3 linked regions of the Arabidopsis thaliana genome follow. The protein of the gene in region 2 interacts with the protein of the main gene of each other region in a pairwise test. Each region holds a gene or a part of one and is shown on either strand. Other genes may lie near its edges.

Region 1 (7,237 bases), 8.3 Mb from region 2:
CATTTAAAAGTTGGTAGGTAAAAAAATACACGAAATAATCATCATGGTCAGCTTCATTTTCATAAGTAAGATATCACTAAGAGATGGTAGTTAAAAGAGGTAAAAAAGTTGTTGGTAAGACAGTGATACAGGCAAAAATTGTGGTCTCATTCAACACGGGAAAAAAGTTGCTGTCTTACGCATGTACTGCAGTAGGAAACAGAGATAGACAAAAATGTGTTTTTATCATATCCAGTTTCTGTTGCTGCAGAGTTTTAACAAAACAAAATCACCTTAATAAAATATTAGCGTATAGAAAACATTCAGTTATAGATTCTAATGGAAAAATAAAAGTCAAGCTCATTACACTACAAAATCATTTCATCTTCCACATATTGAAAGCTGTTGATGCAGAGCCAAGAGTGGTCTGTTGAGTCACTCAGAAGACACCTTCATCTTTTTGGCAACAGTCTCTTCCTTATGCTTAAGCTTAGCGTCTTTCCGCTCTCTCTTCGATCCCTTAGATTTATCGAACAGTTTCATTTCTTTCAGCTGCACAAAGATCGAAAACATATCAGTTTGGGATGATAATAAAAATAATAATCTCCAGATTCGGATATTGGCGTTTATCGCTTTCTTTCTTACCTTCTGATCAGGCATATAAATCTTCCCAGTCTTCCCTAGTACTGCATCTTGATCAACGTTTTTCTCCTGTAGAAGAAGAGATTGATTGATTAGTCATCTGTCTCTTTCGATTTTAAGAGAAATATTAGACTTTTATGTTGTTTAGTACCTTCTTCTTAGGCTTATCCTTGGATGTTCTCATTGCTTCTTTCATTAAGCTATCGTTAGGAAGACGATTACGCCTGATAACCAAGTCCATGGATGGACCGACTTCAACAAGCTCCATTCTCGGAACAATGGATCCTGACTTTTTAAGCTTCAATGCGCAATGAGTAAGGAAAACCTTTGTTGGGGATATAGCTGAACATACGTAAGCGCGGTCTAAACCAGTAAGATTTAGATTATCCACAACCTGCAGACATATACAAATTCTGTTATAAGCCAAATCCATATAGAATCAGAATAAAATTGAAACTGGTTATGGAATTAGCTGCAAAAGTAGGTCATAAGAATCAAACACTTCACCTCGCCACGAAAAAGATCAGTGAGGACTTCTTTGAGATGCTTAAGCTCTGATACATTCTCAAAACCTTCACCAATAAAGCAAATGAAAGGCTTTGTTCCTTCATGAGGTGCGAATTTCTTGTCATACGAAAACGCCCGCAAGGATTTAAAGTTCTCAATCCCAACTTCTATAAGATCATAGACTTGGTGATCATACATTCTCCCAAGTACAAGATTGTCAGGTCGTTTCTTCGTGTGAGAACCATACTGCAATATAAAAACAATCACCAATGTTAGAACTCGCATCAAAGTTAATTTGCCAATACACCTTTCCAAATGACTTCTTAAGGCCTGTGATAACATCAGCCAATCATACCAATTTCCACCATAAATAAATACACATAGACTAACAAGACAGAAGCAGAGATGCCTTAGAATGAATCTAGATCACAGGATAGATCATCTTAATAACATTTTGTTCTATCTAGCAGTTCATAGCTAAGTTAAGAGGAGAATCAAAGTTGCAACACCATAAAACCAAGATGCAACAGCTGCCAAAGCTTATGAACTTACCACAAAAATGCTACAATCTGTTTTCTGAGAGAAGAACTCTAATGAAGTTTCACCTCCACTCTCGAAAGGCCTAATATTCTCATTCCTCCTTGAATATCTGATGGCACCTCCCTTCTTCAAACGGTAGAGTTCCGTCATTACAGAGCTAAGTGTAGCACTCGTCTTTGTTCCATGAAGTATCAACGTCTTCTTCCCAGTTTCAACCTACAAATTCCAAAAACAACCAATTCAGATACAAAGTTTGCAACTTTCAATCGATTCTTTGATAAATTTATCGACAAATAGAAAACCCATGAGTCTCATAGATGTCAAAACAACATTGAAGACAGCTCTCAACATGATTCACTTCTCGGTTTTAAGAAGGACGAAGGAGAAAAAGAAGAGAACTTTACCAACTTAGGAGCTCGGCTTTCGAGAACACGCTTGGCTTTGCCAGTCTTCGGAGTTCGTATTTCCATCATGACTCTGTTAAATCGCCGGAAAGTTTCACAAGCGACGGCTCCGAAAGAAGAGAGAAAGGTTTTTCGATTGATTGATATGGAGTCTAGGGTTTTAGTGCCTCCTCACAATTGGAAGCAACTTTAAGAGAATTCTAATATGACCCCTAACCTTATAAGTCTGTCCTAAATCACCCCACAGTTTTTTATTGACTATAAAACCCAATGTTTCACAAGGTCCATGAACTGTTTAAACTATACGGGCTCAAATTAAACAATGACAGCCCATGAACTTTTACACACAAAAAAGACATTTCATTGCGGTACAAAAAATTTACAAATTTTTATTTATGTTCACTTTTATATCCATGATGATGAAACTATACAAAACGAATAGAGAACATGAACATATTCCAAATTCGTTTCCATGTTATTATTCGAGTTGTTAAGGAGAAGAAACAACAAAACATTTTGATTGATGCTTCGTGTGAGATTTACAAGTTTCTCCCAATGGTACGATCAATGATCTTCACGCCTGACATTGTGCAATCGTAACTTGCTTCCCTGTTTTATAGAGAAGAAGGAAGATGCATGTAAGAGATATTTACATGGAACTGTCTTCTCCTCCACAACCACTTGCTTTTCATCCTCAAAAGGAAAAAAACTGGTCACTCACTACTGAATCAGACAGACAAAGTATCTCCAACTTAGATTCACCACAGAGATCTCAACCTAATAGTCTAGACCTCAAGATATTATAGTAAGGCATACCTTGCATAGACTTCTCGAGGTCTTGTAATTGTCTGATGAAACCAGCATTAGGACTTGCCACGGGTCTTTTGCTTTTAACATGTTGCAATGCTTGAGCTAAAGTCATACCGTGTTTCTTCATGAGGTAAGCAACAACTATAGTGACACTGCAAGTAAAAGGGACAAACCATCCAGGCTAAATATGTACTTAGTTTTGAATACTATCCAGCAAACAAGGCGAAAACCGCTAGATATTGAAGGAAGCAAACAAAACTGACCTCCGTGATTTGCCAACAAAGCAATGAACAAGAACACTACCGCCTTGTCTCTTGGCTTCATCAATGAAATCAACACACTCATCGAAGTACATTTCTAGATTTGTATCTTCCTTATCCACGACTATCACATAGAAAAACAATCAAACAAGCAATTCCATCCCAAAATCAAAAACATATTCTCTCTTCAACTAGATAACAAAGTGAAACCTTTAATAAGTTTATACCTCGAACAACCTTGTAAACAAAGTCATCAGGATGAGCTGGTCTCAACGAACTAGCAACAGTCAAAATATGTGTAACATTGTAAGATTTCAAAACATTCTTATTACTAGCTGCTGCAACAGATCCAAGATAAAGACCCTGAAAAAGTCAAATTCAACAAAAGGTTTGATCTTTGATAATGAATCATTGGTCATTTGGTTGGTAGAAAAAACCTATGAGTATTAGTAGTAGTAGTAACCTGTTCAATAAGGGAAGGGACATTGTCGTCTCTATAGGTACGAGCAACTTTAATAACACGAACAAGAGCTTGTATCTGATTCTTCACCTTTTCATTATACTTTTCTATTCCTGGTAACGAAGAAGATGACGAAGAAGAAGAAGGTGATCCTCTGTCTCTAGAACTCCTGATTTCATCGAATCAGAAAAAAGAAGAAGAGAGTTTACATATCAAGATCGTGATCATAGCAGCAAGAATCAAAATCAAAATCAAAATCCAGGTCACCGAAATAATGGAATCCGATTCTGATGAATGATCTTATAACCGAACAACGGTGAATCGAGAATTACGATTACAACGACGGAGTAGTGATTGGTTTAAGATCAAAAGAAGAATTCGATTATCAAGGAAGAAGAACTTACATTGGAAAAGAAGGAATACGAATTCGCCAAAGGAGAAAGAGATTTACAAAAAAAAAAAAACGAATCTTTGAAATGGGTTAAAGAGGAAATTGCAACTGCATGGTTCTCCAGGTTTTTTGGGGGAAGGAGGAGGAGGAGAGGGAAGGATGTGTTCAAAGAGGGCCAAATAGTAAAATTTCCTTTCTATCAGAAAAATCAGAAATGTTTTAACTTATTAGCTCAGTCCTTATATTATACTCAAAAATTTGTGTTTGGGATTTGTGCTTTGTAGGCTTGGTTTCCTGCTATTAGGCCCCCTGGATTAGTAAGAAGTAGTGTACTTGGCTGAAACTGAGGCAACGGTGTTGTGAATATGTCAGCAAAACTGTACAGAGGCAGAGATGTATCGAGTGATGATGATGTTGTTGTTAAAGACTGTTTGTTATTATGACGTAGTAGTAATCTACTTTAATGTTTTTTTCGAGGGCAGTAGAGCACAAATCTACTTCAATATAGTCCATCGAAGTTCGATATTTTACTTCGATAGACTATCTAATCAAAGCCGGTCTCGACGAGTTTCTCGGTTTCCATTTTGGTACGGTCTTTCCCATTCCTAGAAATTGTGCATGAACATGAAGTACTTCCTTGCTCACTTGATGCTGTCTTAGGCTTGTTTAGAAATAGGACCCTAATTGCTTTAAGAAATCTGACTAAAAAGTAATGGACAATGTACAAATGTACCCTCAGCACACCCTCTAAGCCCGGTCCTGGCACATATCGACGAGTTTGTCGGTTTCATTTTGGTATGGTTTGGTTTACCCACTCCTTGCTCACTTGTCTTAGGCTTGTTTAGAATTTGGGCTTATGGGCTTGGTTTGCTACGTCACCGTATACGTAACTTCGTCACCTCAAAAACTATGCGAGAAAGAGTGACTTAAGAAGCAACAAAAAGATAAACCAAAAACTATACGTTCTTCTTGTATGATGATGACGACATTGACTTTGAAACAGTGTTATCTAAAAACGATTTGATCGGAAATATCTAACAACGATTCAAGAAAACCAAATGAAATTTGCAATTTCCAAGTACAAATTCGAGAAATTGAGTAAACATAAACTTGGTAGAAGAAAGAAATTATTTTTCTAATTACAGATCGAAAGAAGATTCTTCAGAGCCAAGTAACAGAAACCAAGGAATTAGCAAGCCCAGATTGTTCAAAAGTAGTATTAGATCCAAAATAAAGATTCTTATAATCCCCAGGAAACCCTTGAATCAATTTAAAACGCCGCTTTCTCTCAGAAGATTCATCACCAATCTGCGAATAACAAAACGACCAAAGAAGCTGAACAGATTCACTCTTTAAGAAACTTCTCTGTATTCTTCTCCCATCTGGTAATCGAACGCAGATTCTGCACAAAACGCTTTGATCCATATCGCGATTCGGTTCTTCTGGTAAGTTAGGGAATCCGAATACCGCGTTTGATGAATTCGTCGTATTCTCGGTTTCTTCTGATTCTTCTTCAGAGAAGCGTTTCGGGCGTTTGATTCTTCGCAGAGACTCGATTTCCAGAGAGGCGACGTCTACGAACGGTGATAATTTCTCCATCATTGATTGACACTCGAGCATCGTTTTGATCGATGATTACGGAGAGATTTAGGTAAATTTCAAAACCCTAATTGTTTCATAGTTAGAGTGGATTTTTGTGGAATTTGTGAGCTTCTCGTTTATTTATAGAGACGAGACGATAGAGAGGAGCTATAAAGGTTTGTTTCCTTTTCCTTGAAAATAGAAAAATAGATTTATTAGTATTATTGTTTTTGTGTTAGTAGAATTGATTTTTGGAGATATTCTGCGGATTTTTTTTTGTTTCTATTTTCCTTTTTTTTTTTTGTGTAATTACAGATTTTGTTTTTGATAATTGTAAGTTTGTAATACAAATTTAATTATGAGAAATCTACATTGATTATGAATTGAGATTTTATTTGATTTCTCTAAAGAACCTAGTGACTTTCTTGAGCAATATCTTCTTGTTTTGGCAAGTTTTTTTTTTCTGTCCACATTTTTGCACGATTTTTAAGCAACAATATAAATAATATATGGATCAATTTCTTATACAATAAATTTATCGTATAATTTTGTCAATTACTAGTTTTCTTTTTTTTAGGTTTTTGTGTGTGGACAAACTCTCTTAAATCATTTTCATGTAATGATTTTGACTCTTATAAATTACTCTCATTTGACCCAAAAAAAAAAAAATTACTCAAGGTCTCAAGTCTCAACAATCAATAATTTTGCGTTTTGACTATCAAATTCATCAAGAAGAAGAAGAATTGATTATTTCTGTATATATGTACAATATCTTTTTTACTTCTTTAGTCGAAGAAGACATTGATTTCAATCAAAGTTTGTTTTGGTAACTTTTTTTGCTTACCACAAGAAGATGATGAGAAGGGTAACGTATCGTCAACATATAAAAATCATAAAACAATGATTAACAAAAGGTATCACAGAATCTCAGAGAATGCTTCAAAAGACTATAGAAAGTAGAAATTGAAACACCAACCAAGAGTTTTGCTTTGTCTCTCTTTAATTTTTATTCTTTGCATATATGAAGTAATAGACAATACCTTTCTTTCTTTCTCAAATCATTTGATGTAGGTCACAAACCAATCAAGCATCTCCTTGTGAGCTTCTTCTGCTGCTTTAACCGCCTCTGGTTCATCGATGTTGTATCTAACTGTCCATCCGTGTGACACTTTCGGGTGTATCTTCACGTAACTATTCACCTACAGGATCCGTTTTAAAGTTAGATAAAGGTGATTAAATTACACTGTTGAGTTGCGGTGATAAAGCAGCTTACCTCGGGTTTGGAAGATAGAATCTCCTCAAATTGCTTCAAGAGTGCTGGTGGGGACATTTGATCAATTTCAGCTCCTAATATAGCAATTGGAGCCTTCCCACCTGCAATAAACCCGTGAAATTGATAAGGATCATCAAAGACCGGTGAAAGTAAAGAAACCGGACCAATCACAGTGTTTTTTATGTTTGCAAATGTGAATTAGTATTCTTTACAGTAATAATGATAGTATCTAATCATGGCGAGATCAGTTACGCAATCCTATAGGTGACTCTAAATGTTACAACGCATTAGGCAAGGCATGACAACTAATGTTCCTTGGTTCTATGTGAGGAATCAAGATGGAAGTAGCAAAGTCACTAACCTTTGATATCATCAACATTGACAAAAGAA
Region 2 (7,569 bases):
TCACAAGATTGTTATCTTAGGCACTACAGAAGCATCACAAGCTCAACATCAATTGTGTTACTGGTTTGTACTCAGGAATCACAGAAACAAAACGATTATATTACCACAAATTTCCAAATCAATTCTACATATGAAAAACTGTTTTTCAATGGCTACAAATTGGAGATACTTTCAGACAAAGCTCTCTGTAAAGAAATGCAAATGATAACAACAAAGGACATGTTCTTTCTTTCTCCAGCTTAAAGATCAGTGAGAGACATTTGCAGCTTGCTTATGATCATCATCCTTGAGGTTTCTGTATCTGTATAGCCAAGAACACACAAGAAAATAGCCAAGATTCAAGACTCCTCCTATGACTAAAATCCAGTAAACATTGTCAACTCTTCCATGGTTTATGTCATCTGGTAACCACGCCGTGGTCCTTTGAATCAGATCTATCAAAGCAGTGCTTGTGTAGAAACATATCCCAATCACCACCGAGGTTATCGATGTTGCGGTGCTTCTCATAGACTCTGGAAACTCTTGATAGCACAGAGCTACATTCCCTGGGAAATGGAAGGCCTCTCCTGCAACCAAAAAACAAGAACATGGTCGGATTGATCTGAACTCGTAGAATGAATTATTATCCGGAATCAAATCCTTACCGATTCCTACTATGACTAGAGGAGGGAAGAGCCATAAGACTGACATGTCAGCAACAGATGATGATCCGAGAAAATGACCCTTCTGTACTATCTTTAATCGCTTTGCTTCAACTATGGCAGTCACAGCCATGCTTAGAATGTTGAACGCATGGCCTATCCCAACTCGTTGGAGCGGTGTGAGGTGCTTTCCCGTTAACTTTTGGTAAAATGGATAGAGAACCCTATCGTTGACTATGATAAATAGGCAAGTGGAGAGAAGTGTTATGACTTGGAGAGAGCCTGCAGGGATTTTGAAGCTAGGACCAAGCCTCCGGTCCATCACCAGACCTTGAAGAACTGTTAAGCTTAGTTGCATTGCGATTGGAGTGCTCAAGAATATTGTGGCTAAGGCGAGAGGGATGATTCTTATGACTGCTTTGAAATCTTCCACTTGTTGAACGCTGCATAGTCTCCATGGATTGCGAATTGTGCCATCTGGTTTTACCTCGTCTTCCTGTTTCAATGCTGCACGGTTAAAGAACCTGCGTATTTGAAAACTCATTAGAACGGCCTCTCAGTGCAAGAATGAAACTGCGGTTTTCGAGCCGGTTTTTCTACCTGAAACTCTTTGTGGGCATTGTGATTGATTCATTGTGGTAGTCTTTTTCGTTGGTGGAAACCACAGCTTTTCTTTTGCGTAATGCTGCGAAAATGACGCATAGTAGACTTGTGAAGGGACTTCCCAAAGGCTTGTCATGCTTGTAGAATCTTTTCCCCGAGACGAAAACCAAAAAACTGAAGAAATTAGCGGCTACAGACAGACCAAACCCAAGGGTCCAGCTGATATTGTCTTCGGTGTAGACAATGGCGGTTGCACTTATAGCTCCGGCTAGATATGTTGTGAAGAAAAACCAGTTGAAAAAGCTTCCTTGGTCTTTAGTTTTTTCATACTGGTTCGCACCAGCAGTTGCTAATGTGAACCGTGTCCCACCTGTTCCTATAGAGGCTAGAGTTATGGCCGTGTAAAGGACTCCGAGCTGGGTTTTCGAAGGAGACTGGCATAGTATTGAAGCTGTTTCGCAGGGTCTAGGTCTTAAAGTGTCAAGTGAAGCAGTTAGAGTCAGTAGAGCTACACCCTGGTCAAGAGTAGAATTAGTGAATTTCTGTTTCAGAGAGAAACTGATAAAAACAAATGTCAAGGACTCTTTATTAACTTTACCATAAGAGAAATGAAAGCTGAAACTGAGATAACAGGAATGGTTCCAAAGAAAGAGTCAGATGCAATGGCTGCAACAGCTGGAACCATACAGATACAACCACTAACAATATTAGCAATCTGAGCCGCTGCAATGCTCTTCACGTTGAATTCCTCGATCAGGTAGACGATCAAGTTAAGTAACCAACCCCACGCAGCTATTGTCAAGCCTAACAACGTAGCTGCACCATAGAAAGATAAGATAAATTCAACTTCTTCTTCCAAGCTCTAATGGTTATGAAGTTATGAGAAATATAAAAACAGAGAAACAGAATCTCTCACCTATCATAAACGGAAAGGTAATCCAACCTCCACCACGGCGTTTGGTGCTTGAATCTGCTGATATCGCTGTTTCTGCATCGCCAGTAACTGAACTAGCCATGTCTCAAAATCAAGCAGAAATCTTTCACTATTTTTGTCAACAATGGCCTGAAATTCTGAAACATATATACAGTATAAGTAATAATACAGCAATGATGACTTTCTCGGGTCCACGATATTTTATTCTCCATGCGCAGCAGCTTCAAATAAAGAAACATTAAGAAAGTAAAACAAAAACTCAAAGGTTTCCGTTGATGCAAGTTGAGCCATCACTGTCTGCTTCGTAACAGCCTGTGTGAAGACAACATTATTTCCAACCCAACGTTTTAGAAGTCAACTCTAAATTGTCAGACAAAGGATATTACAATATTACTAAAGAAAGACACATTTGTGCCTAATTATTGCTAAGGAATTGACCATTTCTACTTCAATAATGCAAGCTACCTAAAGCCAATCCCACTAAAATCTATTGAAAGTCATTGAATGAGAATAGACAACTCACGGCGACAGCATTGACTCTGGCTCTAGCTCTATAATGTCTCCCACAAATATTGAGGCTCTGTACATTACAAAATTATATTCTCTCTTCTCTTTGTTTACTAGGGAAGACTCAAGAGTATGTGAAGTAAAAAAGTCTATAGATATTCTTTAATAACTGGAGTACTTTACATTGGAGCTACACTTAATCACTAGCAGTAAATAACATGAACAAACAAATAAAAGTTACAAGATTACATATGTGGAAGAAGTACATGAATAAAAGAACAGGCAAAGATACTAAGTAGCCATTCGGATGGTTATTGGGTAATACCAGGCATTCACGGGGCTGCTGCACTTCTAACCGTATGTTGGATTGAGTGCTATGGCTTCTTGGTAGATCATCTCTTTTATCTGTTCCTCATCCAGAGGCTGTTGTTCGAACTCAAAAGAGAATGGCTTTTGACAGATTGGCTCATCATTCGGGTCGTGCAATTTAGCAAGGTACTGGTGATTCAGAGCTTGTTCAACTGCACAAGATGGTATTTTCAGTTTTTAATCAAAACATAGTGATGGTAAGAAAAACCAACAGAGAACATGTATGAAACTTACCAGTGATTCTTCTGTTGGGGTCAAACGTCAACATTCTGTCAACAAGATCAATGGCCATTGGGTTAACATGAGAGAAAAGTTTAGCTAAGGGCTGACGTGGGAAGTTGGGAAGTTGCCGGATGTATCTTTTCGCATCCTCATTGTGAGTAAAACCGAGATCAGATTCTGTCGGTGTGCCAAGCAACTGCAAGATTCAAACAAATTCATCACATATTCCGTGAAAAGGCAGAATCTTTAAACCATGCTAAAATTACATAACTCTCTAAAATATTTTACCTCTGTCAATAAGCGCATTTGATGAACATGGTCTTTACCAGGGAACAAAGGCTTTCTATTCATAAGCTCCATAAAGATACAACCAACAGACCAAACATCAATAGCAGCTGTGTAATCTGAAGAGTTCAACAGAAGCTCAGGTGCTCTATACCATCTCGTAACAACATACTCAGTCATAAAATCATTCTCTGAAGTAGGTCTAGCAAGACCGAAATCACAAATCTTTAAATCGCAATTCGCGTTCAACAGAAGATTGCTCGGCTTTAAATCCCTATGAATAATGTTAGCTGAGTGGATATACTTCAGTCCTCGAAGTAGCTGGTACAAGAAGTACTGTTTCCATGACAACAAAAACACCAAATCAAGTATCAGTTTCATGTCTCTTCTATCAAATATAAATCCCAGAAAAAAGCCAAGAACAGTTTTTAGTTTACCTGACAGTGTTCTTCTGATAAACTCTGGTTAGATCTGATGATTTGATGAAGATCAGTATCCATTAATTCAGTAGAGATATAAACATCACTGAACTGTCTTCTTAGTGGTGGTGGAACAACATCTCTTATAGCTATAATCTGTTGCAATACCAAATCAAAAAACCCTAATCATGATTTATTTACTAATTTCTACAGATATTTCACAAAATCGAACAAAAACACTAACGTTTTCATGATCAAGATGACGAAGAAGCTTGATCTCACGAAGCGTACGCTTAGCATCCATATGATTATCAAAAGCATTAGCTATCTTCTTCATCGCTACTAGCTCGTTCGTCTCCGTATCCAACACAGAGCTTCACAAAATCAAAATCCAGAAATTAAAAACTCCGATCTCAAAGAATAAAACTTAAGAAAAAGCTCAGAGAAGGAAACATACCAAACGATTCCATAAGCTCCACGACCAATTGGTATAATCGGAGGACGATACTTAGATGTGATCTCGAATAAACTACCGAAGATATCGTAACTTATGAACTGTCCTCCGTGAGTTTCCACCGCCGGAAAATCCGTGTATTGGCCACCGCCGGTGTTCATTTCTCTCTCAATTGATCAAAGTCGAGATTCAGTGGTTGCTTTGAGGTTTGAAGTAGTGAATCTGAAGGTATTTGTATGGTTTTATATAACAGTCGGAGTCAACAGAGAGACTGAGATTGAGGATTGAGCAGAGATGAGTTTTCGCGGTAATTGCGAGGAAGAAGATGAAGAAGAAGAAGAAGAGAGAAGAGGGAAAGGCAGAGAAGATCGTGTGGTTGAGATTAGAGCCGCCTCAAATCGACGGTTTCTGTTCGTTGTTGACTTCGTCAACGTTCTTCCTCTTCCTAACGTCCTTTACGGTTCTGTATCTATCTATCTGCCATAGTTAAATAATGACAATAATAGTGTGGGGATTTTAGTAATTGTAATCTTAATTGGATCATATTCGTTTTAATACGATCAATAAATTAATTAATATACTCGTTTTATTCGTTCAGGAATTAAAATTTTGTATTGTTTTACGTTACGTAAAATTATATAACACTCGTTTTAAGTATTGTATTTTATGCGATTAATTTATTATAAGTATTGAATATCATGTGTGGTTTACGATGGTTAATAATATTATTATTATATAGACTAAATTAGTTTAAAAACAAAAGATACTATTCAATTATGATTTTTAAGTAAGCTATTTTCGATCAGAATTTTTTTATTCTCTTCTTTCTCTAAAATTTTGAGAAAAAGAAAAAATTCTTTGTTTCGTATGCCTTCCCGTATGTTTGTGAGGTTGTGTTCGGACATGGTCCAACTTTTTGTTTCAATACCGTACGGTGAGTTCTAGTTATAGTTACCGGTAAATCCGGTTTTATCGTCGCCGTTCTTTGGTATTTTGCCTTTATTTGTCTTTATTTCTAATAAACTTATTAAGTTTCTTCATTACGAAGAAAAAGTGGAAGTTTAAGAGTTTCGGCTTCATAAGCCTTGTCGTTCAAATTTTGTAGTAGTTTCACTTGATGGGCATGGCGACGTTAAGTCTCACCGGAAAATCTTTTTGGTTGCTTACGTCATTGTGATGCTTCATGCTACTTTGGAATGGTGGACGCTTTCCTTCATATGAAAGAAAGTTTCGTTCGTTTGTTAAATCTGAGTTTAATTTCGTTTGGAAGAGGAAGACTAGATGTGCAATTTCTTTAGAGGGTCTTCAGTGCTCTACTTGAAGCTTCTGGTTTTGCGGAGTGAACGAACTTTCGGTGGGTAGGCGTTCTTCGATCTCAGAAAACATGCCGGCAGTGGTTGGCATTCTCGACAAACACGTTCTTCTCGTCACGTGTCTGTGATTTCCTCATGAGGCGACACATGTCTCTGTGTTGTATGGCTTTCTTATCCCTTCCTCGATGGGTTACTATATTGGGCTCGGTTTGACTTTTGTTGTTGGACTTTTGTTTTAAGAAGGCTTTGTTTTAAGAAGAAAGAGATAGCAAAATAGGCAAAATCTCTATTTGCGCAAATTGGTTTTGGAGTTGAGAAGCGGATCTTTGTGGTTACTTTTCGTTAGGATATCTGTGTAAGAGGGCCTTGCAGAAGTTTTGGATTGATTGGATTGCACTCATGGCTCCATCAGATCGCGTGTTAAGTGTAAAGGTTCCCCGAATGGGGATTAAGTGAGAGATTCAGTTTCTCCCTTTTTAGTATCTTATTTTCTTTTGAGATTTCTGTAAGATTTACTCTTTCAATAGTTCATTGTTAGTTTACAAATTTGATTCGTCTTTTACCGACCAACATATACCATTTCATTTCCAATGAAAGCAGACAAGATAAAGCAGAACTTGCAGATTATGAAAATGTTCAATTCTGAGTAGATGAAAATTAAAGGAGATTATCTATATGTGTTTGATAATTTAATATCGTAATGCTCATTAGCCTATCGAATTCTGTAAGTGGAGTTTTCCACTATTGTAACACTTTGTTGTTATATATCAAAGCCAACACTTATGAAGAAAAAAAAGTAAGCTATTTTCGAGTTCGAACAAGATATTAATATTTAGTTTACAAATTCCTCTAAATAATCGTATGCGCTATATAATTTATGTTCCAACATTATCGTTAAAAATATTGATTTTGTTATGAAATTTATTTAAGTTAGAGTTCTATTTATGTTAAGGAATAACGATGCATCGTTAAACTTCACTGGATTATAACCTTCTAAAACTATTCCAAAGTCATCTAAAAGTGATTTCAAATACTTAACCTTATCAAAACAATGATTGTTTAAATTAGTTCTAAACTTTAAATCGAGTACTTCCTAGATGGACAAACGAAAATCATTAGGTACGGGCAAAATCGAAAGCTTATAAAGAGCTTCCAAATGCATGTGGATGATATTTCCCTTATGAACACTCTTTTGAAAAGAATGGCCTAGTCGTTTATTCCATTGTTCATCTGTAGAACGTTTAAAAGCTTGAAACTTGTGGACTGTTCAAAGGTTTTGAAGCAAGTCTCCATTGCAACAACTTAAAATGAGTTCTTCTTTGTTACATAAACTAATGATGCATGAGTGTGTTCTATCACTTTGTTACTTTTTCAGCTTAAAATAGTTTATCCCATATTCTTTTGCTTATTACTTTTTTTAGCTGTATTTTATTTTGAACATTGAGTTACTCTTAGATACAAAGATATATATGAAGGATAGTATTCGTGTATGTTTATGTTTTAATTTACGAGTAAAATATTTTCTGAAGTCACATGTTTGAGTTTTGTTGTGTACAGTATTCTTATTTGTAATTTGTTCTTAATCCGGTACTTAGATCATCATAATTTATAGAAAAATAATTATTTTGATGAAATTTCATTGTATTAGACGATTAGTTTTATAAAACTTGTAACTAAATTTCTAAATTTTTAGATTTATTTCCACATGATTTCTGAAAATATCGGATATGTAGAAGAACAAAAATTAAAATATAATCATTGGGTTGAAATAAAACCACCACCAAATTAAATCAGTCTTTAACCGACGCCAACCAAAAATAAT
Region 3 (7,888 bases), on a different chromosome or scaffold from region 2:
ATATATAAAAAAGTAAGAATCATTATCCTATATTCCTATTAATTTAAAATAAAATCATACAGTATATTTTATCATTAGATAAACAGAAAAACAAGCTCGATAAATTGATAATTTATTCGAGTAGAGGATGATAGTAAAGACAAAACATATCACAGTGTGAAAGATTTGGCTAGTAAATAAATGTTGGCAAAAAATATTGTTTTGAAGAAAAAGAAGATCATGGTTTGAACAAAATAAAGAAGGAAGGTTCAAAATACAGAAGAAAAAAATCTGACAAAAGCCTCGTGAAACCTGAATTAGAAGACAAAACATGATGTCATGGAGAGACATATCAAAAAAAATTATAATTATTTTTTATTGGATTCTTTTTAACACAATCCATAAACTTCTTCAAATACAATGGAAAAAAGAGGAAAACATCGTGAAACCAAACGTTATGGAACAACAATCTGCAGACAAAGAATCGACAAAAGAGTAAAACAGAAATGTTAATTACACTTAAAAAACGATTAAATAAATAAATTAAAAGTAGCACTCGCCTGCAAATGACAAAAGTGGTTTCTCTGCCTCCTACAAAATTTGTTTCTCACAGAAATAAGAAAACAAATAGTGCCTTAATGTGTTAAGAGTCACCGAATAAAGAATGTCACATTTCACTCTATAACTCGATTTAATTAAGAACGCTGATTAAGAGAAGATTTTTTCCTTCTTAATAGCTAAAACATAATCAATGCACTGATTGATCGGTTAAAATGGGGTAATTGAACGTTTTTATTTGAATTTTTTGGTATTATTACCAGTATAGACATTTGACCAAAGTATCTCCAATAATGGCAATGACTCAATTAAATGGATTACACATTTTCAATACTAACACATACACACACACCAACTTTATTATGTATGTGACCAAACTTGTGAAAATTCATCTCTTAAAGATTTGTTCACTATACTACTCGATTTTTTCCAAATACAAAATTTCTGTTTATAACACAATATTTTAAGTTTGTGAACATAAAATGAAATCAAATTATTTTTTACCAAAGTAAACTCAATAATTAAAGAAAATTAATTTTATATCTTTCAGAAAAAATCTTCAACATTAAGATAAATATCTTTTAAATGTTAAAATGCTTATTGAAATATATTTTCTTATTTGGAATATTTATTTATCTATTTATTTATCATTCAACCATTACATTCAGTAAAGTTAACTTATTGAAAACGAACAGTTTCACATTAAGTTAGTTACTTGGAACTTGATTTCAAACAAGAATCTGAACTGTCTTGTAAATACAAAGTGGTAGCGCTACTAAACGTCGGTTTCCTTAGGTATTGATGTTGGATATGACTTATCTTCTCCCCGATCTCTCCTTTTATAGACCGATGTGAAACTCTAGTTTCATTCGAATTTAGAATGGCATGTCACTACAAAAGCATACCTTAGAATTCGAAGTTTCTAACAACTCCATATCTCATATCCCTGTGGACTAGTGTTTCTCGACAACATCAATTCTTTTACCCATTCTGATTAAGGCTTTTCTACAGCAAACAATGACCTTTAATTAGTATTAACTATTAAGTCTCCTTTTCTTTAACTTGGGCTTTGCCATTGGACATTTTTCCTTTAGAATTCGAAGTTTCTTCCGCATCAGGTTTCTTTTCCTTAAATTTAGAAATTTCCGCTAGCAAATACAAGTTTATTTTCTTTAGAATTCGGTTTTATTCTATCGTTAACTCAATGATAAATTTATTTGATCCAAACAAGTTACTACAGTACAAGAGTAAACGTCGCTTATTACTTGAACTTAAAACCAGAATATTAATTTTTTGGACTAGATAGAGTGGTCCTAAAATGTTGAGAGGACAACACAATTGGCCATCAATATCACTGTAGACTTCAAAAGAATATAGAATGAACATTTTCGAAGGCAAAAGGAAAAAAGTAACTATAAGGTCTCATATTGCTGCTTCGAATAGTTAGGCAAGACTCTCAACGAAAAAGACTTCTCTTCAATTTTTCTATTTTGTACTCTCTTTATCAATATTCCATACCCACCAATTTTTTCTTCCTTTTTTCCTTTTAAACGATTTGATCGTATGAATACATATGCTTATGAACAACCCTTTATTTTATATATCTATTCTACGAAACACAAAAGCTAAACTAGAAACATAAATTTAGAGATGATTATACATAGAAACTATATCATATCAAGTATTATCAAATATGTAGATCAATAATCAGAAGATGATAATCTAATGATGTCTGTAATTTTGTTGCCCAAGAGTCCAGACAAAGATGAAAGATGTGGTTAGACAATGGTTTGAATATCTGTCCTAACAGCTCATTTAAAGAAAAGTTGTTCAATGTTTTAAAACCTTTCACTCTCATAGTTCATTACAATAGCGGATACCCTAAGTATAGATTTAATAAAAGCTAAAGAGCTTTTTGGCAGAGAAAAAGATTGTTTCTTTTCTCCGTTTTTCGAAAAGGATGCTTTGCTGACATAGGGAGAGTTACATTACTTAAAAGTGTTGATCAAGTGTGAATAATCATTACCAAAACTTAAAAACAGAAGACTATTATAATATGCCTAAAAGGGTTTGTAAATTTACTCAAGACCCCAAAATCATCATTGCACTGTTTGGTCTTTGAGTTCCAACAAAACTCTATGATATCTCAAAAGCCAAAAGAAGATGTAACAAACCAGAATGTACATCAGACTTATATCAGAAACTTTTCCAAGACCAAAAACTCATCAAAGTTTAAAGGCAAAATGCAATTAATAACATCTCTCTACTTCTTTAAAAGCTGTAAAAGATCTTTTTCTTCATCTTCTCATTTTCTCTTGCTTACCATTTCCATCTGCAAATTTCAAAACAACAAAAAAACATTCTAAGAACTTCACTTAAAAGAGTCACCAAAACAACTAAAAAATGTTATTAAAATCCTACACTTACATGTTAATGCTGAAGAAATCTCAGAAGTTTTAATCACACGCAGCCTCTTCACCGAAGACACAAACATTCTGACAATTTAAGAAATAATCAATTTTAGTGATCAAAAAGTCCACAATCTTTAATAGCTTAACCAAACTAAGTTTGTTATTAATCAAACTGTGATTAAGATATAATAAATATGTGACTAGGAATCTAATACTTCTCCTTTAGATAGAACAAAAAGCTGACTCAGATTCAGAAAAAAACGAAAAAGAAAAGAAAAGATTCTTACTGCCATGGAACATCTCCTACAAGCATCTTGTCTCCTTCATTGTCTTCATATGTAAGAGTATATTCTCCATTCCCATCTAATAATCCAGTGATTGGTTTTTCATCTTCTATGGATGATGGAAAGTCTCTTTGAGCTGATAAAATAAGAACAATTAGAGTTCAAAATTCAACCCTTTTTTAACCATAATCAATAGAGAGACAAAGGTTTCAAATTTACCTGCAAGAAGACCTCTGAAGAGCTTGTCAACTGTGAAAGATAACTGCTCATAGCTATTATGAGCACTGAGATCAACTTTACGACCAATGGGAACACCATACATGTTGATCTTCACAAACATGCCTCCTTGTCTCTTTGGTTCTGTTGTCTTAGCAGCAGCATCACACTTTTGGTTCTTGAGGGTAACACCATTGGAGGTGGTTGAGTCATTTCCAAGCTTTGAAGAACTTCCACTAGCTAAATTCTTCCTGAAGGATCGAACCGGAGGCCATCCCACCACTGGACCAGGAGCAGTTCTTTAAAACACAAAGGCATCAAAACAAAACTTGTTAGTAAGACAAGAACAATCTCAAGGTTAAAAACAGAGGAAAACTAGGGCAGTAAAAAGACTGAAACTTTCAGATGGGAAAAGGGTAAAAAGATGAAAAGTTTTGAGATCCAATCTTAAGCAGACAAGAACAAAGTTTATGCAGATAGATGGGACCTTATTGGCTAATAACAAGTGAATATCATCATGTGAGAAGGATACAAAACAGAGAAAAACAAAAAGTAAGAGATGAGAAGTTTAAAACCTTTTATGGGATGTGGTTTTGGTGGAAGAAGGAGAGAAGTATTTGCCAGCGAGAGAGAGGATAGATTTGTCTTTTGGTTCTTTCTTCATGTGTCTTATCATCGATTCATCATCATCTTCTTCACCAGGTGGTCCAAGCTTTAGCTCAAGCTTCTTCTCCTCTGTTTTGAAAACAGAGTTTTTCTCATCGTGAAACCAATTTCTTCTCTCTTGTGGAATCATCAAGTCAAGCAGCTTCGGAGAGATTTCACCGTTTCTTGAATAACCCTCCATTAGGATTTTTTTTAGAGGAACTACAGAAGAATCTTGCGTTCTTTGACCAAAAGAAGAAGAATTTCGACAAGAAAACACTTCAAAAAGAAAATCTGTCTAGAAGTTGACAACTTGTTCACGCAAAAGAACAAAATTTTATAAACCCATTAGTTAAAATCTCTCTGCTACACTATCCAAAACTCTTGAAGCAACTTAGAAAACAAAAGAGAGGAGATGGAAATGGAATGAGAAGCTAGAGAGGTGATTAAGTGGGACTTTTATACAAATCAAAAGCTTTCGCCTTTTGAAGGGAAAAATGTTAAAACTTTATGGTGGGTTCTTATCTTTTTTCCCACTTTGTGTTCTCTCTCTCTCTCTATCTCTAGATTCTTGAAGGAGAAGAAGTTGGATTTTATACCAAGGAAATGCAGTGAATAGGTTAAAACCAAAGGAAGAAAAATAAGGGGTAAAATTGGAAATTATTAGAAGTTAGTAAATTTGGAGACCAAAAAATAAAAATAAAGGGATTTATTGGTGTGAAACACACGCAATCAATCTTTTTATCTCTCTCTCTGCCCTTAAAGGAAGTTTAGTGGAGGAAGCAAAGCATGCTATTTTGTTTTCTATCTTATTATTCCAATCCCATAGGCCTTTTTTCACCTTTTTATTTAAAACATATTTTCTTTTGACCAATTAAAAAAAATACATACAACAGAAAAACATAAACAAACAATTACTTTGTACAAGTAAAACTTGTGGTGTTGTGTGGTTGACCCAAACAAAACGAGAAGTGTAACTTGAGAATTTGTTATGTTTTTATAATACTAGTAGTGTCACAAAATATGGATATAGGACTAAACAAATATTTAGACCAAAAAAGGAGGACTAAACAATGTTTTTGTAGAGACTTTACACTTTTACAAAATTATTGGGAAAATGTAGAAAAAGCATATTTATATTACGCGAAGTAAAAATCACACCCAATTAAATTAATAAATAGTAGTATATAATTAAAATATGGTTGCCATAAAAAGAAATGGAGGATTCGACGATCTTTCTCTGGTATGTTAGGATCACACCCCTATCGACTCTGTCCTACTCCTATGGGACTTACACATATTCCAATGTTTGGGAAAGTTCAAATGAATTTGGAGATTTTACGAGAAACCCTTCTTTTTCTCTCTCTCAGTCTCTATTGAGTCTCTATTGGGTGATTTAGCTGAATAACCATATTTGACAAACAAATTAAAAATATAGTACCATATATATAAAAATTAAGAAAATAGCATGTAAGGATAAGGAAAAGACAATTTTAGTGTTGAATTGGAGGTAAAATGATTTAGTAACATTTAGTTTAGTTTTTCACCTATTTGTTTTTTTTTTGTTATATATCTTTTCCAAAAAATAAATTCCAATTATAAAATTTATTAGAAAAAACCTATATTTTTTCTACATACAAAATAGTTTGAATTTTTAAAATCGGATTTGAATTTATAAAATAGTAAATAGTGTTTGTAAGTAAAAACATGTACTATTTTGGATAGAAATAAAATGTTGTACTATACTATTTTGGATGTATAGAAAAACTATACCCTAAGATACAACCTTGGCAACTCAAGCAACCAGATAACATAAGTGGTATCTGAAAAATCTATTTTGTCCTTCTCGTTTGTTTGTTATGTGATACAAAAAAAGAAAAAAAAAAAAGATTGAGAGAAGAAAGAAAAAGAGATGAGAGGTGAAGAGAGAAGGAGGGACTTAGAATGAGGTGGAGAAAAATGGGTAAATATACCATTATTATATATAATATAGAGAGTATATCTGTTTTTTTGTTTTGTGTTACTTTCTTAATTTATAAGTTTTTGTTAGTTATTCTTGCAAATTTTCTTCCTTTATTTCGTTTTGTCGTTATTATTTTATAAATTATTACTATTGGCTTTAATTACCATTTACCATCCCATCATATATTTAAACCCAAATGATACGAGGAATTTTTTGTCATCTTATACTTTAGATCGATAGAATTCAGTAAGCTCCAATATAAACTCTCTTTTTTTTTAATCAGGTTAGTTTATTCTGCGTTTTTTTCAAATCAGTCACTAAACAAATAAAATTATTGATTTTAGATTCGAGTTTTGTGTCTACCTTTACATGCAAATAAAAAACACAAGAATTATTGTGTTGCTTTAAATGAACTTAATCACAAGAAGCGTATGTTACCAAAAAAAAAAACTCAATCTTATTTAAAAGAGTAAGCTTTTGCCACACCAAAAAAAAAAGAGTAAGCTTTTGAAAATAATGAACCATCGGACATGGTTCTTCCACGTGTGAGACCGATATGACGGAAAAGCCGAACCAACCAAGAGTCGGGTAAGAGTTTTGGTCAAGGAAGGAAGGGTAATATGGGAATTTTCAAACAAGATTATCAGAGGTCAAATCTTGTCTCCGTATTACCAAACTCGTTGTGAGTTTTTGGTCAAGTAAAGATGGGTATTTTGGGAATTTTATAATATAAAAATGGGATTATCAGAGGTCATTTCTTGTCTCCATATTACCAAACTCCCAAATTTCTTCCTTCATCGGCTACAATGCTGCAGACAAAGACTGACAGACAACCTTAATCACGGTTCCTTAATTTCTCCATTTTAAATCATTCATGTGTTAAATTAAACCCTATGTAATTATAGTTATTAAACCGTCTAACAAGAAACACCTATTGTGATTAGTAATTACTGTGTAATTAAACGTGTACACAGTGTTTGGTAGATCGCGCGTTTTGATGATCTTCTTTTTTGTTTATGGAAGACACGTGGCAATATAGATGAGTAAAACAGAGACTAGAGACCGAATCTCTCTCTGACTTTGACAGTACTTTTCTCTCTATCTGGACGGTAGACAAAAGTTGTACAGTTTCAGATTTTAGATCTCCTGATAAGCTTTCAATCCCAACCGTTGAAACTCAAAACAAACCACAACCAACGGCTATGATTATCACCGTACACCAATTAATAAGATAGCTGACTCCAAAAAAGAAAGTGAAAAGGAATAAAACAAATCGTGAAATTAATGTCAAATCTGAGGAAAAAGCAATAGTTGTGGTAAAATCATAAATGATACTCTTCAATCTTCATGGGTCGTATTTGATAAGGCTCCACCTAATAAGATTATCGAATTATTTTCCTGCACTTACTATTTGTATCACTCAATTTCGATAATGTTGTGTTGTCAAGTCTAATCTCATGATAAAAGCGTATCTACATGTATGTGTCAATTATTTGTATGCATTTTTCATAGTGCAAAGATTCGTTTCTAAATTCCAACGTGATAATTGTTTTTGTGTTGAGTGTTTTTGTGGAAGCTTCATACACTATTTCACTGGCGTCGCTTTTTGAATGCATTGCTTCTTTTTGTTGAAACTTTCATCATGCTTTTATGATTTTACCAGTGAGATGCAAATAAATTGCATTTACTATTTGATGTAGTAATAGTAATAGTGTAATACTAATAGCATCTAGAAACAAATTAGTGATCCAATGATCTTGGTAATATCCAAAAACTGTAATTTGTAATTGTCTTGGATATTAGTATTTGAATCCTCAAATAAGCCAAATACT

What was found. The genes of interacting proteins can lie anywhere in the genome.
Region 1: the proteins of MPK3 (region 2) and DSPTP1 interact in binary tests that used the Arabidopsis thaliana proteins (3 or more experiments, as listed by UniProt).
Region 3: the proteins of MPK3 (region 2) and IAA18 interact in binary tests that used the Arabidopsis thaliana proteins (3 or more experiments, as listed by UniProt).

What each region holds. Positions count from the first base shown.
Region 1 is NC_003074.8:8,475,051-8,482,287, reverse strand, and holds DSPTP1 (dual specificity protein phosphatase 1), read right to left. Parts: upstream 4,167-7,237; 5' UTR 4,009-4,166; coding exon 4,007-4,008; intron 3,772-4,006; coding exon 3,606-3,771; intron 3,506-3,605; coding exon 3,370-3,505; intron 3,267-3,369; coding exon 3,146-3,266; coding exon of another isoform or gene 3,115-3,145; exon of another isoform or gene 3,035-3,114; coding exon 2,889-3,034; coding exon of another isoform or gene 2,845-2,888; exon of another isoform or gene 2,796-2,844; coding exon of another isoform or gene 2,767-2,795; exon of another isoform or gene 2,753-2,766; coding exon 2,637-2,752; 3' UTR 2,447-2,636; downstream 1-2,446. Other genes in the region: AT3G23620 (Ribosomal RNA processing Brix domain protein), read right to left, coding at 415-531, 625-690, 773-1,015, 1,129-1,374, 1,681-1,884, 2,073-2,141; AT3G23605 (Ubiquitin-like superfamily protein), read right to left, coding at 5,155-5,613; AT3G23600 (alpha/beta-Hydrolases superfamily protein), read right to left, coding at 6,633-6,773, 6,848-6,948, 7,209-7,237. UniProt on the Arabidopsis thaliana protein: Has a dual specificity toward Ser/Thr and Tyr-containing proteins. Dephosphorylates MPK4 in vitro.
Region 2 is NC_003074.8:16,753,944-16,761,512, reverse strand, and holds MPK3 (mitogen-activated protein kinase 3), read right to left. Parts: upstream 4,943-7,569; 5' UTR 4,921-4,942; coding exon of another isoform or gene 4,729-4,920; 5' UTR 4,596-4,728; coding exon 4,438-4,595; intron 4,355-4,437; coding exon 4,225-4,354; intron 4,137-4,224; coding exon 3,999-4,136; intron 3,898-3,998; coding exon 3,565-3,897; intron 3,473-3,564; coding exon 3,289-3,472; intron 3,207-3,288; coding exon 3,037-3,206; 3' UTR 2,639-3,036; downstream 1-2,638. Other genes in the region: NAXT1 (nitrate excretion transporter1), read right to left, coding at 247-1,165, 1,242-1,759, 1,843-2,060, 2,161-2,260; AT3G45645 (uncharacterized protein), read left to right, coding at 4,729-4,920. UniProt on the Arabidopsis thaliana protein: Involved in oxidative stress-mediated signaling cascade (such as ozone). Involved in the innate immune MAP kinase signaling cascade (MEKK1, MKK4/MKK5 and MPK3/MPK6) downstream of bacterial flagellin receptor FLS2.
Region 3 is NC_003070.9:19,302,077-19,309,964, reverse strand, and holds IAA18 (indole-3-acetic acid inducible 18), read right to left. Parts: upstream 4,885-7,888; 5' UTR 4,296-4,884; coding exon 4,024-4,295; intron 3,748-4,023; coding exon 3,452-3,747; intron 3,369-3,451; coding exon 3,236-3,368; intron 3,033-3,235; coding exon 2,965-3,032; intron 2,870-2,964; coding exon 2,835-2,869; 3' UTR 2,447-2,834; downstream 1-2,446. UniProt on the Arabidopsis thaliana protein: Aux/IAA proteins are short-lived transcriptional factors that function as repressors of early auxin response genes at low auxin concentrations.